2 linked regions of the Yarrowia lipolytica genome follow. The protein of the gene in region 2 interacts with the protein of the main gene of each other region in a pairwise test. Links are inferred from orthologs where the notes say so. Each region holds a gene or a part of one and is shown on either strand. Other genes may lie near its edges.

Region 1 (4,175 bases), on a different chromosome or scaffold from region 2:
CCACAAGAAGCTGTACAACCTGCCTGTTGCTGTGGCCGACCGGTCCAAGATGAACATTGTCTTCACCATCCATGGCGAGGGTCTCGAGGACAAGTTCCTCAAGGAGGCGGCTGCCAAGGGTCTGACTGGTCTCAAGGGCCACCGATCCGTCGGAGGTATCCGAATCTCCAACTACAACGCCGTCACTGTCCAGAGCGCCGAGCTGCTCAAGGACTTTATCAACGAGTTTGCCAAGCAGAACGAGTAGACGGATGCGTTGCCAACATATAGAAGGGTGCAAACTCTGACACTTGATTTATTGATGATTTGATTGTATTGTAGCTAATGAGATGTAGTCACCAGACCCACTATGTCGAGGGTATTGGAACAAATGTACTTACACGCAATGGACCCATTTGAATCGTTGGCACTAACGGTATTCTATCGTTGATTGTACTTACAGATATCGTCAAAAGTGGACGTTTCCTTAACACACACTTACTCAGATTGACCCACGGATACGTCTACAAGTATGTACTGCACACTCGTATTGTCATATGCTCATTAACTACTCGTAAAAATTACTGGGAGGGGGGCCTGCATTGGGCACCGGGGGAGGCGGTGAGGTGCCATGAGAGTACAGACCCTGGACCGGTGGAGCAGCCAGGTTGTTGTTGTTGGGAATAGGGATCGACTGGCTGGTGACCGGCGATTGCTGTCCCAGGTTGCTGGTGGGCGTGCCATTGATGTATGGCGAGTGTCTGGCGGGCGCAGAGGCCGCGGGGGAGGTTCCGTAGGGGGCCGAATGAGCTGTAGAAGGAGATCCGTAGCCGTGAGGAGCAGAAGCAGCCGGAGCATGGCTAGGAGGCGCAGAGGGGGCTCCAGAATGGGCTCCAGAAGGGGCAGAAGGGCCTCCGGGGCCTCCGGGGCCTCCAGCACCTCCATGGGGAGCAGAGGGAGCAGAAGGTGCTCCACCCCCATATTGAGGAGGGAATCCGTACCCACTTCCTCCGGTGGTCGCGGGATGCAGATCTGTGGGTCCCTGGCCTCCCTGGCCTCCCTGGGAATACATGCGCTGTGATCTTCCAGAGTCAGTAGATCCCTGTCTTCCATGCGCCTGTGTGTTATCGTATTGATGCACGGGGTATGGAGTTTGCTGTTGCTGCTGCTGTGGCTGCTGTTGATGTGTCTGAAGAGGCTGAACAGGATAAGGAGGCTGTTGCTGCTGCTGTTGCTGTTGTTGTTGCTGTTGCTGGGGAGGATACTGAGGCGGGTAACCAGGAGTACCTGGAGTACCTGAAGTACCTGGATAACCTGCGGGAGCGCCCTGAGCACTAGGATATCCTGCAGGAGCTCCACCCTGTGCACCACCTGCATATCCACCTGCTGCAGCAGCTCCTCCATACTGTGGCATGCTGGCCTCCATAAGGTCATCATACACTCTTCGGGCCTTGACAAATTTCTCGTTGAGCTCCACCAGGTCGTCCTTTCGCTGGGCATACTTGTCGATTAGCTTGACCAGCTTGGGCCGGATGGCAAGGGTGGAGTGGTACAAGGACTGTAGCTCCTCATTTTCGGCGAGATTAAGCCGGGCAGCGTCCTGCGAAGACAGCAGTGCCAGCAGCTTTTCAATATTTCTGCTCTGAGAGAACACAGACAGCTCTTCCTGGGCCTCCTTTTCAATCTCCGCGGGAGTGGGTTCGGCTATAGGCATCACGTAGTTGAGTGGGAAGATACCGACCTGGCCCCGCAGAGATCCCCGCCACCAGTCTCGGAACACTGACTCCAGCACTGTGATTATGTCGCCCTTTCGGAAAGACAGTTCTCCGGGCTCTGTGGCGTTCAAGTCATACAGGGCCTTGACTCGGGACACCGTGGCCACCGTAGGTGTGGGGTCCTCGACTGCCGGAGCGTTGTTGTTGGTGTTGGCGTTGTTGGACTGCTGCCCGTAATCCTGCTGGTTGTGCTGCTGTTGTTGCTGCTGTTGTTGCTGATGAGGGTCCGTGGCAAAATGAGAGTTGTTAACAGGAGGTTGGATCTGAGAGTTGGTCTGGTGATGCTGCTGAAATGAGCCAGAGGTGTTTGTTTCGCTCAGCGAAAGCGCCAGCACCATCTGCAGCTCCTCCTCCTCTCGCTGGCGCTCCTGCTCGGTGATTTTGTGTTTTTCGGGCTTGGCGGGGGCCTTGAGATCGGGCTTCTTCCTGCTCAGTTCGTCGTAGGCCTCCTCAATTAGCCGCAACGAAGGGTCCTTTTTATACTCGTCCGTCAGCTGCTCCAGGACCTCAAGCACCTTGGACTTGACGCTCTTGTGGACGGCCGAGTCGTTGGCCAGCTTCATGAGGGTCTTGACAAACGCCTTGGACGCAATGGCCTGCTGCATCTTGGAGCCACAGTTGGACGATAACGAGATGACCAGCGTGAGCGCATACAGTTGGGTATTGGCGAACTTCTTGTTGAGACGCTTGGTGACGCTGGTGATGACGTTTTTCGCGCCATTTTCGGGGTCGTTGTTCACCTCGTCGCAAACGTCGAGTATGTACTGCCAGTTTTCCGTCGTCAGGTTTTCGTCCGTGGCCTTGGTGACCACGTCATCCAGTGGCGACACGGGCTCCGACGATCTGAACATGTCTGTGAGGGTGGTGAGTGGGTGCGGTTACCTCTATGAGGTGTGGTTGGTAGCTACAAGCAGCGACTATTGCCACTGAATAAAGTTGCTGGGAGGTGAGATGGAGTAGTGATGATGCAATGTGGACGGCTAACTACTTTGTGGAAGTAGAGCCGTGTGTTACTGCAAGGAGGATCTGCTGGTCAGCTGTGTTAGGGAAATTGATTGACCACCACAGATCCGAGCTGGCTATCTATAAGTACATTCGCAAATGTAGCTATTTCGAGACACAAAGGCTATCGTGGAGGCTGAGCGGCATGCGTCCTAACGGTAAGGTGCATGGGGGTACGATTCCCGCGATTGGGGGGAGGCAATAATTGCGAGTACGGTTATACGACGGTGTGAGAAAACAACCATTGAAGAGGATGAACGACGACTTGTACTGAGTGCGTGTTTACTTGTTTAGTTGTTTAACAGATTGCACGATACCTCATTGCGATCAATAGTTGTGGTATTATAGATACAATAGCAAGCACCGGTTTCTTGTATCGTAGAAGCCTCGTATTGGTTTTTGTTTATGTCTTCAACCAAAGTTAGAAATAGTAACGATAGCATACATAGCCTGGTTACTTGTATGCTGCACATGACTGTCAGCACGAAGACAACTACTCCGTCAGATAGTGATGTCTGATGCGGTGGAGTACAAGACAAGTATCTGATTGCATCAAGAGACTTGCTACAGTACTTCAACTGGTATCACTACTCTTTATCAGATACCCTCAGATGCCATCAGCAAGCAGTGAAGAAGATACCTCCACTAATTACTTGGTGAACTGGTGCAGTACAGACTGTAGCCATGATGGTATGATACCAGTCTGCGACAAGAGCAATACTATACGAATACAGGTACACGTTACATACAGCTTTACTCGTATTGATCCTTCTGTGCATGCAGGGGGCGGAGCGATCTGGTCATGACCATTTATCTATCTACACATGAGCAGGGCTGTGTTTAATCGGTGGGATCTACGGTATCATAGTCTCATCTAGAGTTAGTCTAACTGCTACTTTAATAGCGTCCCTCAATAGCTTGATAGCGCATGTACCGTTCGAGAAGTCGTAATACAATACATAAAAACGCACCGCACCTATACAGTAAAACGCACCTATGTTGTGGACGTCTGATATTTATTCCATTATGTCGTCGCCGACCCCGTTTCCCCCTCCTCCCCCAACTTTACATTGTGCATCAAACGGTTTTTTTCTGCAGCCAACGGTGGCCGGTGCTTGTATGGGCCCGCACGGACCGGTACAATACATACTGTGAAGCTGCACTGCCCCAACCTCGGCACATTGACTTTAGCCCACCCACGGAACACGATAATCGATCAAGAGACAGGAGCGATGCAAGTAGCAAGATATGACAGATTCCTCAGACGTCAAAAGATCCGGGGGCGCCCATTGCCATCGCTCCGCCCATGCCTTAGTGTGTTGTGACACGTCCTCCTTTCATGCACCCCTCTCTTTACATGGTGGTAATAAAGCGTGGTCAGAGGAGAGAGGAGAGATAAAGCGAGTGCCGGTATATAAG
Region 2 (4,264 bases):
GTGGTCTGGCCATGGCCGAGTCCGAGCGATACCTGCCCGTGCTCATCACCAAGCTGGAGGCCGCTCTGGAGGAGTACGGTCTGCGACACGACTCCATTGTCATGCGAATGACCGGTTGCCCCAACGGTTGTGCCCGACCTTGGCTTGCCGAGGTGGCTCTGGTTGGAAAGGCCTACGGAGCCTACAACCTGATGCTGGGTGGTGGCTACCAGGGCCAGCGACTCAACAAGCTCTATCGATCTTCGCTCAAGGAGGATGAGATTCTGGACATTCTCAAGCCTCTGTTCAAGCGATGGTCTCTGGAGCGAAACGATGGTGAGCATTTTGGAGACTTCCTTATCCGAGTTGGTGTCATCAAGGAGACCACTGCCGGAAAGAACTTCTGGGAGGGCGTCGAGGAGGAATAGACGGTGTTATTATTATTATTATAGCTATTATCAAAAAAAATAATTAATGTATTATACGGATAAAGAGGTGAGTAAAACTTGTATTGCAATTTTATAACATCGTACAGTAATGCAGAGTTCCAACCTTAACAAACATGTGAAAAATGGCTGGGAAATTAGTTGGATAATTAATTGAATACTGGCTTCAAAAAGATCTGCTCAAAATGCACAGCAAAAAATGATATACTGTACAGCTGTACATAATTGAGCAGGAGAATAGAAAGTGAAAAAGATATTGCCTTCGACCAGATTTGAACTGATGATCTCAGCATTACTAGTGCTGCGCCTTACCACTTGGCCACGAAGGCATCTGTGAGATCCGCAGTAGACAAATTGCTACAGGACAGACCAAAAAAGTCACGTGGCTGGGTATTTCAAGGGGGCCTAGCAGCGCCAATAGATTACCAATTGAGACAGTAGAAAAGGGGTTACAATCGAGATGCTATTTTAATTGAAAAAAAAAAAACATGTTTCAAAGTTGTTAATACCGCACAACATACCTACTACAGTACATACATACTTGCTCCCCTCAGTAACACACATCCACAGTAAAAGTATCCCAACATCGACTGATTAGGTTCGAGGGCCTGCAGAGGAGGTTGAACTCTTGGATCAGTTGATTCGGGAACTTTTGACAGATTAGACATCGTAGTTGAGAGTCTCCTCCAAAAAAGAGACCAATAACTCCATTAATTCGGGTCACGTGACTGCCACACCGCCGTCCAGCTCATTATCCCTCACTCACCTTGAGGCGAGGCTGCAACTCTCGTGCATTGATGAGATGCAGAGGAGGTTGTGCTCTCACATGTACTTATGGCACAATCGAGAGACAAGTCATATGGATGTAGTGGTAGAAGGGTCTGGTCACATGATCGTGATAGAATATCGACAGCGCTTCTCAGTTTATCTGAAACATTTCGATTGGCCCAACTAGCGCCTTTTCTTTTCAAGTGCGATCCAAGTGAACCTGCTAGAAGCTTCACTTACTACTACCCATCCCTACATACCCTAACCCAATACATGTGGCAACATGCGTAATAACCCCAGAGATATACGTCACACACTCCATCATACATCAATTGACGTCTCATCATGGCACCGACTTACAAGATTTCGAAGACGTTGATTGGACACGAGCAGGACGTCAAGGGCGTCTGTTTCGTTGACTCAGAAGTCGTCTCCTGTTCTCGAGACACTAGCGTGCGAAAGTGGCACTCTGACAGATCGTCAGATGCGATATACAACGGTGGCGGGTTCATGAATGCGATTGCTGCGGCCCCCAACGGCCGTCTCATTGCTGCAGGAGGCCAGGACAAGATGATTGCGCTCATTGGCGACGACACAGCTCGATTTCTGGTTGGTCACGAGGGAAATGTCTGCGCTCTAGACCTTGCTGACGATCTGGTCATTTCCGGCTCCTGGGACAAGACCGCCAAGGTCTGGAACGACGGCCATGTGCTGTACAACCTCGAGGGCCACGCTCAGGCTGTTTGGGCCGTCAAAATCGTCTCTGCCAAGGAAAATGTGTTCATGACGGCCTCTGCTGACAAGACCATCAAGCTGTGGCACCACGCCCAGTGTGTCGCCACCCTGCCTGCTCACACCGACGCTGTTCGAGGCCTTGCTATTTTGGGCGACGGCAAGTTTGTGTCTGTCAGTAACGACACCACAGTCAAATTATGGCAACTGTCATCTGATAACAAGTCAGCAAAGGAGATCAAGACGCTCGACGGTCACACATCGTTTGTCTACTCCGTCGCAGCAATTAGCCCCACAGAGTTCATCACTACAGGCGAGGATCGAACCGCTCGAATCTGGAACGCCACTACAGGAGAGACTACCCAGGTCATCACTCTTCCTTGTGTTTCTGTGTGGTCTGGCGCCACAGCCTCCAATGGCGACATTGCCGTCGGAGGCTCCGATGCCAAGGTGCGCGTCTTCTCACGTGACTCGTCACGATTCGCAGATGTTGTTGAAATCGAGGACTTTGAAGCCTCTGTGGCAAACTCGGCTATCGGCAAGGACCAGGTCGGAGAGATAAACAAGGACAAGCTGCCTGGACCCGAGCGTCTGTCTCAGCCTGGCACAAAGGAGGGAGAGGTTATTATGGTCAAGGGCAACGGAATTGTGGAAGCTCATCAGTGGTCTGCTGCTTCTTCCAGCTGGACCAAGATTGGAGAAGTAGTTGATGCACCCGGCGCAGAGCGAAAGAAGGTGGCTGAGGACGGAAAGGAGTACGACTACATTTTTGACGTTGACGTAGAGGAGGGACAGCCAGCACTCAAGCTCCCCTACAACTCCAATGAGAATGTCTATGCAGCTGCCCAGCGGTTCATTGACCGGTACGAGCTTCCCCAAGGTTACTTGGAGGAGATTGTGCAATTCATCATCAAGAACACCGGTGGCGTCAACATTGGAGGCGATTCTGGCCCTGCGCCTGATCCCTACGGGGGTCGATACGTTCCTGGTGGAGAAGTGAGCGGCCCTACGCCTTCTGTTTCTGCTTCTGCAGCAGCAGCTGCCCCCTCTATCGAACCCGCTCCTTTCCCACTAACAACTCCTCTTTTCATCAACACATACAACGCTGCGGCTCTCAGCAAGGGTCTGGACAAGTTTAACTCGTCCGAAGCCGCCCCTTTGGCTGATGACGAGCTTTCTGCACTCAAACTTGCGCTTTCCAAGAACGAACTGGGCTCCTCCCTGCTTTCAGTGGTGCTCAAGATTGTTTCTAGCTGGTCTGAGCCTCTTTTGGGACTGGATATTCTGCGCCTCATGGCTGAGAAGCTGGGCGCTCCAAAGCCTGAGATTGTCACAGCCGTTGAGGGCGCTGTTGCATCACCCAAGCTGGCCCACAAACTCATGGGGGTTCGGTTTGTGGTCAACAGCGTGGCTGCCAAAAATACATTCCCCGACGTTGAGTCGGTCATTGATACCGTTAAAGGGACTCTGGCTGACTACAAGTCGGAAAAGCTGTTTGGCCAATATGAGACTGCTGTTGCCACACTGCTGCTGGATCTCGCTGTGAACGCATACGACGGTGGCAACGTGGAGGCTGCCTTTGGTCTTCTGCAGAGCATCAGTGAGGTGTGGGAGAAGGTGACTGGCAACGAGGCCGTCTTCCGACTGGCCGTGGCTGCGGGCACGCTGTTTTCTCTCAAGAGCGAGGAGGTTGCCAGCTGTTATGATCTGTTCAACTATGCTTCTCTGGTGGCTCGTCCCTATGATGAGCTTCGGCTCAAGAAGGTCATGGTTAATCTCACCAAGTAATATAGCTGACATAGAAAGATGAATGAATATACGACTGAATGAAGCGACACATGTAGGATGTTTGAATTGTAGCAACCAGAGGAAATATACCACAAGTATGTGATTTTTCTACTAAATCCCCCATATTAATCATTCTCACCTCTATGCTCACTTCAGGGTAACTCACGTTACGCGTCACGTCGCATGCAAGGTTGGGTGTTAATTACCTGAGGCCAGTGTTTCTTTCATCAACATCACACATTTCAAAAACACAGCCATGAGTTTCCCCACAACCCCACGAATCAACAGCGGTCTTCTCGGCGACTTCTATGGAAAGACGGTGCGAATCATCGGCAAGGTCGAGTCTCAGGACGGCGAGATCGTCAACCTGGATGCCAACGGGCCCGTCAAGGTCAAGTCTGACGGCTCCGATTACGTGGTTGGCCACTTCTACGAGGTTGTTGGCAAGGTGGAGGGAAGCGATCAGATTGTTGGTCTGACCGCCACCGATTTCGGAGAGAACATCAGTGAGTAGGAGTGACGGAACGACGGACTAACGGAATGACGCAGTA

What was found. The genes of interacting proteins can lie anywhere in the genome.
Region 1: the proteins of YALI1_D14004g (region 2) and YALI1_F09563g interact in binary tests that used the Saccharomyces cerevisiae proteins (3 or more experiments, as listed by UniProt). The link is inferred for Yarrowia lipolytica from reciprocal best matches to the Saccharomyces cerevisiae genes DOA1 and HSE1.

Annotation. Positions count from the first base shown.
Region 1 is NC_090775.1:954,756-958,930, reverse strand, and holds YALI1_F09563g (uncharacterized protein), read right to left. Parts: upstream 2,606-4,175; coding exon 548-2,605; downstream 1-547. Other genes in the region: YALI1_F09598g (uncharacterized protein), read left to right, coding at 1-247. UniProt on the Saccharomyces cerevisiae protein: Component of the ESCRT-0 complex which is the sorting receptor for ubiquitinated cargo proteins at the multivesicular body (MVB) and recruits ESCRT-I to the MVB outer membrane.
Region 2 is NC_090773.1:1,397,731-1,401,994, reverse strand, and holds YALI1_D14004g (uncharacterized protein), read left to right. Parts: upstream 1-1,538; coding exon 1,539-3,713; downstream 3,714-4,264. Other genes in the region: YALI1_D14058g (uncharacterized protein), read left to right, coding at 1-407; YALI1_D13976g (uncharacterized protein), read left to right, coding at 3,970-4,219. UniProt on the Saccharomyces cerevisiae protein: Ubiquitin-binding protein involved in protein ubiquitination, sorting and degradation. Acts as a ubiquitinated substrate-recruiting adapter for chaperone ATPase CDC48 by binding mono- or polyubiquitin chains.